Daphnia pulex: one gene and its partner. The main gene of each other region encodes a partner of the protein of the gene in region 2 in a complex. Links are inferred from orthologs where the notes say so. Each region holds a gene or a part of one and is shown on either strand. Other genes may lie near its edges.

Evidence for each region.
Region 1: the proteins of glycosylphosphatidylinositol anchor attachment 1 protein-like (region 2) and phosphatidylinositol glycan anchor biosynthesis class U protein-like are in contact, whole or in part, in a cryo-EM structure (PDB 8IMX), measured with the Homo sapiens proteins. The link is inferred for Daphnia pulex from reciprocal best matches to the Homo sapiens genes GPAA1 and PIGU. Residues at the interface, in NP_003792.1 of Homo sapiens: Gln245, Leu310, Arg311, Arg313, Phe358, Leu359, Ile371, Ala389, Leu390, Trp393, His397, Leu500, Ile504, Leu508, Cys512, Leu515, Thr516; in NP_536724.1 of Homo sapiens: Tyr349, Ile355, Phe356, Cys360, Ile363, Val364, Leu367, Leu368, Val371, Leu372, Leu375, Ile377, Tyr378, Ala379, Gly380, Ser381, Phe386.

Annotation. Positions count from the first base shown.
Region 1 is NC_060023.1:1,131,030-1,134,758, reverse strand, and holds phosphatidylinositol glycan anchor biosynthesis class U protein-like, read left to right. Parts: upstream 1-1,367; 5' UTR 1,368-1,466; coding exon 1,467-1,593; intron 1,594-1,666; coding exon 1,667-1,866; intron 1,867-1,927; coding exon 1,928-2,358; intron 2,359-2,430; coding exon 2,431-2,699; intron 2,700-2,764; coding exon 2,765-2,907; intron 2,908-2,976; coding exon 2,977-3,087; 3' UTR 3,088-3,144; downstream 3,145-3,729. Other genes in the region: uncharacterized protein LOC124197055, read right to left, coding at 3,355-3,723. UniProt on the Homo sapiens protein: Component of the glycosylphosphatidylinositol-anchor (GPI-anchor) transamidase (GPI-T) complex that catalyzes the formation of the linkage between a proprotein and a GPI-anchor and participates in GPI anchored protein biosynthesis.
Region 2 is NC_060021.1:10,694,511-10,698,940, reverse strand, and holds glycosylphosphatidylinositol anchor attachment 1 protein-like, read right to left. Parts: upstream 3,056-4,430; 5' UTR 2,862-3,055; coding exon 2,717-2,861; intron 2,663-2,716; coding exon 2,568-2,662; intron 2,488-2,567; coding exon 2,365-2,487; intron 2,301-2,364; coding exon 2,141-2,300; intron 2,018-2,140; coding exon 1,866-2,017; intron 1,801-1,865; coding exon 1,648-1,800; intron 1,586-1,647; coding exon 1,467-1,585; intron 1,386-1,466; coding exon 1,308-1,385; intron 1,233-1,307; coding exon 1,129-1,232; intron 1,069-1,128; coding exon 774-1,068; intron 710-773; coding exon 545-709; intron 483-544; coding exon 206-482; 3' UTR 134-205; downstream 1-133. Other genes in the region: 1-phosphatidylinositol 4,5-bisphosphate phosphodiesterase delta-4-like, read right to left, coding at 3,654-3,751, 3,823-3,972, 4,040-4,191, 4,246-4,390. UniProt on the Homo sapiens protein: Component of the glycosylphosphatidylinositol-anchor (GPI-anchor) transamidase (GPI-T) complex that catalyzes the formation of the linkage between a proprotein and a GPI-anchor and participates in GPI anchored protein biosynthesis. Binds GPI-anchor.

The DNA of each region.
Region 1 (3,729 bases), on a different chromosome or scaffold from region 2:
TTCTAGTCGTTACTATTATACACGATGACAGCCAACTGATGTTGTACTTCTGGTATTTGCCGGCCGACAGCGATCTGAACTAGGCCAAATGTTGTTTTGTTTCAAGTAATATGTACATACATAAGAACGCGAGCTGGCCTTGTGAAAACGGGATGCCAAGTCTTGTGTTTACTCTGGGAAGCTGAACTGGTATTTAATGGCTTATTTGATCAGTTGAATTAAAACCAAGTGACATTTCAGACTATACAATTTCTGTTATTATGTCCATACAGTTATTTTTATACTAAATAAAGAATCAAAGTTGATTTTAAAGCGTGTGTATTTTTCCCATAACATAAAATTGATTGGAAACTATTGCAATGCGTTCCAAATTGGCATTTCTCATAAATAATTGGCACACAAAATGACAATTGACTCGGTTGATGAGAGCGCCAATTATTAGTAACCGCCGCAATCGCCGCCACCCAGGAAACAGGATTGAATAGAGGTATCGGGATTTTTGCAGTAAGGCGATGTGGGATCCCGGCAACCTGTTTGGCTTCCACTGCAAGTGTAAAATCCTTTGTAGGAGCATTTGCAGGCATTTCCCGAAGAAGCAGGCTTGCTAATCGAGCAACCGCCGCTGTGATAATTGCAATCACACGCCATCGCCGAGTAAGAGGATAGGACGCACAATAAGACCAACACAAAGGCGAATCGCTGGGATAACAAAATTCAAACATTAAAAAAATGTTATAAAACAAAATACAAAAATTCAATTTGAATTCTTAAGGGTCATTGTGTTAAGTACTTACAAGCATGGAGTTTTGCAACATTTTCCTTGTTTTTTTAACACTTTGGCTAGTTGACTGAAGAGGAAGAATGTAGTTGGATGAATGTTGAAATGTGAACAAGTGTTTCGCGTTTTATACCATGGCCTCTGTGTGTTGTAAAAACGCCTATTTACTTTACCTGTTTGAGTGGTGGACCTTTCAACTTTTCATCCTTTGTGCAAGTTCACTTTTGAAAGTTAAAGGATCAACGACACGAGCTGAGATAAATTTTAAACCATCCCTGCAATAGGCATGATAGTAATTTTAGCTCGAGCAAGTTCAAGGGCATTGAGTCCATTGACCGATCAGATTTATTAATGTTTATCTGGAACTTTGATTTCGGATAGCGCTGAATGTGAATGACCTAAAATAAAAATGTTAAAAAATCTTTCGAGAATTGTTTATTATATTACTATTAGGTATTAACAATTTAGATAATAAGATCACTCATTGCACATTGGCATAAAGAAAGATATATAATCAGATTCACGTTCAAATTCAATGAAACACTAAAATCGACCAAATACCGCATAGAGCAACTGCAAATCAATTGGCATAACACAAATTTTCAAGATGTAACGTCGTCTGCTTGTGATTCTGTCAACATCCAGCAACACCAGCGTTCTAAAGTGACGCACCCGGCGGTCTTTGGAAATGCCCAGTTCATGGAAAAGTAATGCTTTAGGTGTAATAATACGTGCATGGTTGTTCAATTCGGGATTTCACGACTCGCTGTCGGATAGAGTGGAAATTTCGACTCCACTGAATTCGTGGAAGCGAGGTAAGAAGAAAAGCTACAGAAACGTCGATTGCACCTCTCCTTTTCCTTTCAACTCATTTTGTTTATTTTCTAGTGATTGAAGGTGCTTATCTCCATCAGAGGGCTCAATCTCCTTACGAAGGAGATGTGTTCCATGAAACTCCAACGGGGCTCGTTTTCTATACTTATTTATTGAAACTGAATTTCAATGTCCTGCAAGCAGTATTCATTTTGTGTGATGTCCTTACTGCATTTGTGTTGACTGAAGCAACCAGGATATTTTTCCAAGATATTGTAAGTACCGATTTGTTTTCCTTTCTACTCATATGATTAATTAATTCATAATTCAATTCAGGTTAAAGATCAGCAGAACAAAAAGAAAACTTACCATAAAGATGCCAAAAAGATTACGCTGAAGAAAGAAGAAGTTGCTAAAGTTCCCCAGTATGTCACAGCTGCTTACCTGTTGAACCCGTACATAGTGTGTAGCTGTGTAGCGATGACCACCACAGTCTTTGCAAATTTGATCCTATCCTTGACACTACTGGCAATGGCCAAGAAGTCCAGATTGCTCTCAACTTGCTGTCTTGCCTTTGCCTCCCACCAGAGTTTTTATCCAGTTATGCTCGTGGTACCCATTGCCATCGCAACAGCCAAGGAGAAGCAATTGTTCAAGTCAGTCTTTCTGACCATCTTCAGCTTTGCATTCTTTACAGCATTATTGCTGTGGTTCTCTTACCATTCAACGGGAAGCTGGCGGTTCATCGAATCTACTTATGGTTGCATGTAAGTTGTTTTATATTTTATGTTATTTAAGATTTTATAAATATTCTCTTGTCATTCTTTTCTTTTTTACAGCTTGAAGGTGCCTGATTTGACACCCAATATCGGTCTCTTCTGGTACTTTTTCACCGAGATGTTTGACCATTTTTATCTATTCTTTACTTACGTATTCCAACTCAACCCTTTCATCTACGTCATTCCACTTGCTATACGATTCGATGATAACGTTCCTTTGCTGAGTTTCACTCTGTGCGCCATCATGGCCATTTTCAAATCCTACCCTTCGATAGGTGACGTCGGATTCTACTTAGCCCTCTTACCCCTTTGGAATCACCTAGTCCCTTGTAAGTTAATACCGCTTTACCATTACTAATTGAAATCCTGTTTTAACAGCAAAACATTCCTGCAGATTTTAGGCACTCTTTCATCGTTGGCTGCATTTTCTTGGTGACTTCGGTCCTAAGTCCCATCCTTTGGTACCTGTGGATCTACACTGGTTCTGCAAATGCGAATTTCTTCTTTGCCACTACGCTGGCATTTGCTACAGCTCAGGTATAAATTTAAAGTAAAACTTGTCACGCCATTCGAATTCATTCATTTTACATTCAACTGTTATTGCAGATTTTTCTTCTGACGGATGTACTGTTCGCCCAAGCAAAATATGACTACCATCTCAAACACGGTATCGACTTAAAAATCAACGGTAAAGAAGGAATGCTAGTCTTGGAATGATGGCCATGATTGTGTATTATTATTGTCATCATATACAGCCACTTTTCTCTATGCTAATTTAACTAATGTAATTCTACTACCGAAGTAATTATTTCTCACTCCTCTCCATCGACGACACATCCACCGAATCATAATTGTCCTCTCCGTATTTATTATGGAGAGTATTTCCAAAACATCATCGGTGTATGTTTTCGTCGTCTAGTAGTAAAAAAATTGGAATTTAAGAAGTTGAGAATTTGTCGGTAGGACTACGATTTTATGTCTGGTCTACGGAAACCATTCTCCGCACGCGTGTATGGTGACGGGGTTTTCTTCGAGGTTCAGCCGACTGATTTGCTGACATATTTCAATGCCGCTATGCACGTAACCGAAGACGGTGGTCATCTGGCTGTTGTTGGGATGATCACGGCATATGACGGAGAACTCTGAGCAAACGTAGACGCCTCCAATCGTCCTTCCGCGATGACGCATACGTAGGGCACCTACAGACTCGTCCAGAGTTGATTGGTCGGCAATGAAACGCTGTGTTCTTCCATCCTGCCACCCCATAGGCAATAAACCAGCAAATCCGTCCTGATCTTGTAGCGTTTCCAAGTCTTCATATTTTCCAGCAGTAAAGGATTCTCCACTTTTATTCTAAAG
Region 2 (4,430 bases):
TACCAGATATGATATCCACTATCAGTAATGAGTAGGCCTAATCATTGTTTCATTACCTCATTTATTTTATATCTATATGTCTGCAATTCTGCATTTACTAAATTTGCGGCAAACTGTACTATAAACACGTGAATGCGTGATAAAAAACAATGAAAATGTAATCGGTTGACTTACGGAATTTACAACAAAGGGCGACAAAATTTTATTAACGTGATAAATTACCCAAATTTGCCCAGGCAAGTGACCATAGCGGCAAGTAAAGAGTTGATACAGCAAAGAAAAGCCAATTTCCATAAAACGTTCCATCAACAACCGCGTAAATCAGAGCACGCTGGGCAGCTGTATGTGTTTTACCGAAAAATTTCCAAGGTTGATTTATTTCCTCCGGAAACACTCTGTAAGTATCAATAAGTGTAGCGATAAAGAGCAGCGATAGAGGATGTACTAACATTAGCACAGCGTAGCGGCAATATTTCAAGAACCTAATACCAATGAAAAAATTGCTATTAAGGTTTTCAAGAATTTAATACAAACGAATGCAAACCTTTGGGAAACTGGTTTGGCAATGGAAAATACCGGACTGATTATAAAACAAGTGAGCACGGCTAGGGAAATATTGCCCATCGCAACTGCGTACATCAGAGTAGATGTTAGTAAAAGAATTGCGCATTGAACACAATTGGCAGATAATCGTTGGATGGACAGCATTCTAAATGTGAAAAGAAAGTGTTTGTTTTAAATAAGAACAATTTCAATAAATAAAATCATAATACCTGACGCCAACAGTTGAAGTTAAAATGCAATGAATTACGCTGAGCATACAAAATCCTCCAAAAACAACGTCTTCCGTGCTTAGCCCCAATGCCATAGAACGATTAAATCTTGTAAGTTTTTCGGGCGCTGAGTAAAAAAGCAAACCACAAATCGTACTATACAACACAAACGAGCCTAAATTAAGGAAATTCCAATTTTGTTTTTCATTTGGATTCTCTTTTCGTGATATATAAAGTGCAACAGCTTGTAATAACATCGAGCCAATCATAAGCCCAAATGGCGGCATATATACACCTAAAAATAAAAAAAAGGGTAATAGTTACGGAAATAGAATGTTGGAAAATATATGACTACCAATAGAAACATAGCGATTGGTAGCAGGTAATAGATAAAAGAAAAAAGATTGGTGAAATCTTTCTTGCAGGTTGTTCAAACTTCTCATGATACCCTCGATTGCTCTAGCAAAAATTTAAATGATAACATTAGTGCACATCACTCGAATGGCTAGCTACGTTCAGTCATTTTCAAATTACCTTCCCATCAACAGAAAATTTGATCCGTGCCACCCTCTCTTATACGAGCCAGCCACTGTTAAGGCTTCAATTCCAAACCTATGGAGACAAATATCAAGGCAACAAAAAATTTGTCACTATTTGTTTTCATGGTAGAACAAACAAGTGGACATCACAGACCGGTGGAAGAGGCCATGGTTTCCAGTGGGCACTCCAGTTGCTTGAGAGGCCATTAAAGTCAGTAATGACGAAGCGGAATATATCCAACCTTCCATGCTAAGAGGATCCGGATAGTCCTCCTATAAAAGGACGATTATTTAGATTTAGCTACAAGATGACGACAATTAATACAAAAATTCACCCTCTCTTTCAAAGTGGTTGTAAATCTCTCCTGCTGGAACAGTCTATGCACAAGGTTAACGAGATCTAAATTTGGAAGTTGCCCATTCAACCCTTCCATTCGTACATCGATATGAGATATCTTTTCGTATGGGATTTCTAAATTGATTGCAGCCTAATATGCATATTTGTTCAATGGATTAGCTGGTTTACTCGAAAACAATATATACGATGACGCACTTGTATGGCACCAGCACGGGCATCCAACTGCCCGAAATCAATTGAATTTGAACCAGACGATGTATAGTGATAAGCTTCTAACCAAGCTTCCATACCAAGTTGTTCATGCTCGGTTACAACAAAAATAACATCTCGAGCCCAGTATGAGGCCGCTAAAAAAGAATTTACGTTGATTAGTCCTACCCAATATTGTAATGTAAAAAATGATAATAAATAAAGAAAAAAAAGAGAACAGAATACGGTTTTCAATAGACAACGCTAATACTCATAATTACCCCGAAAAGATGCTGCCAGTGAAAGCATAACGGCAATTCCAGCGTTGGTTCCCGTCAGTACAGAATCAGGAGGTCGGTAAGGAACAGACATTACAAGGCATTCTGTACTAGCCCCTCTTGAAGCTCTTAAAATGCCATAAACATTTTTGCCAGAATAAACCTAAGAAAAAGAATGTAATTGTAACTAAATTTTGAAAAAAATAATAAATATTTTCCAATAAAACCTCATTTTCATCTAATGGATATTTGACAGAAAAGTTGTGGGTGAATGTATCTAATCCTAATTGTTTGAACTGAGCAGCAATGAATGCATGGGGCATTCCATTTGGGTATCTTTCAGCTTCTGCCTACACAAGACAAAAACAATTTCATTGTTAAAATTCATGAAATGTATGTAGGAATACATTTTGAAATAACTTAGGCTTACTTTAATGGCAGCTACATACTGACGGGCAAGGAAATCTTCCTTAAAATTTGAATGTACAAGACCAGGTAATAATGCATTTTCAGAGAAATAAGTTCCTATCATGAAACAATGTATAATAAACAAAATATAAAATTTTATGAGGAATTTACCGGCGTTGAACTGGCGATAGGCAAGACAAACAAACCACACAATGCTTCCAATGTAAAACAAGCTGGACAGCACCTTCTGCTTACCAACAAATTTTAACAATAAAGGAGACAATTGTTTATCGGATGGATTACTTAATAAACCCATCCTAATGTGATATATGCAAAACTACTGATGGAGCACTGCAAAAATTGTATTCAAAACAACTGCTACAACCGGTGACAGTGAGGTATGAGTAGTGTCAACTGAATACAGCAGACGATATTGGACGTCAAAATATGAAAATATTTTCTCCATGTTTTGAACGGTTGCAGCCTGCAACTTGCAGGGTTGAAAAAAAAACGTTTTGGAAGTTATGTTAGAAAAATATTAAAATAAGCAAGATGCTAGTGTTTTTTTTACTACTATTATTATATTTAAGCTTAATAAATAATAGGTGTATTTGTTCATTTTAAAAAATTCTAGCGTGAGCCGCTCGTTTGAGCGGTGAAACGTAATGCATAACAAATAAAAAAAGAAATGGCTGGATAATGTTCTTTCAGAAGCTTCGCAAACCAATATTGGTTATTTGTTTCAAGTAACCATTCATTTTGTGGTAAATATTAAGAGTATATTTGAAACACAGATATTTCTGACTGTTCTTTGTAACTCAGAGATCCTCCCCCCCCCCCCATCTTCATAAATTTGATTCAAATATTCATAGACATGTATTTATACTTTTTTTAACAAAAAAAGGACAGTTTTAGACATAAGGGTAAGCATATGATTTGACATAGCATCAGCAGTCAATCCGCAAAAAGCTTTTCAGTAATTAAAAGGACCTTTGTTATTATTGAGTCTGACTGGATTGGATAGTTTTTATTACAATTTTGTTTTTTATGGTCGCCTACCGCACGGTATCGAAGAACCAAGTACGGAAGAAGTGCTAGCAGAATCCTACTATGCAGATGGCAAATCACGAATTGATACATGAAGGAATATAGTTGCGTTCGGTATTGGATTTCCTTCTCGACACAATAGGCAAATATGTCCATAACCTTACACAAAACGAGAACTTGGATGTTAACTTTCTCAATGATAGATACACATATATTTCTTCTATACACACCTGATTTTAAACTTTTAACTGGGACTACCCTTACACCAACTAAATCATCGTCCGACATAGGATCTTTGTCCCTAACCGAAATAACAAGAAGGTCTAATTCAGGCTGTCGTAATCGAAATTCGGTCGTCTCTTTCCAACAGGGATTGAAGCCTGGGTATAAATAGAGATAAATATAAAATGCAAATTAAAGCGTAACTTAAAATTGGTCAAAACATACCATTATCGTCTACGTGCTTTGTTTTGAATTTAAAGCGGTCAGCCGGATGACCCATGATTTGAACCGTAACATAGGGATCAATGACTTTCTTTTCAAATTTCGGGAGATTTTGTCCACTTATAATTTGAAGTCGAACAACCTTGCTACCCGATCTATAAAATAGTAATTTCTTTACGTGATCATTTCTAATCAAAATCAAAACTCACAATCCAGCTTCCGCTTCCGGAATTTCTCCCATTTTTGGCTTACGCAAGACGGCTGGCTTAAGCACATATCCACACTTTCCGTTAACTTGAAAAAATGCCTCGTTGATAACTTTATAGATTCCACTTGTTTGGTAGTTCAAAGCCACTAGACAATTCAATTTACTGATTGATAGTATTTCTTTTTT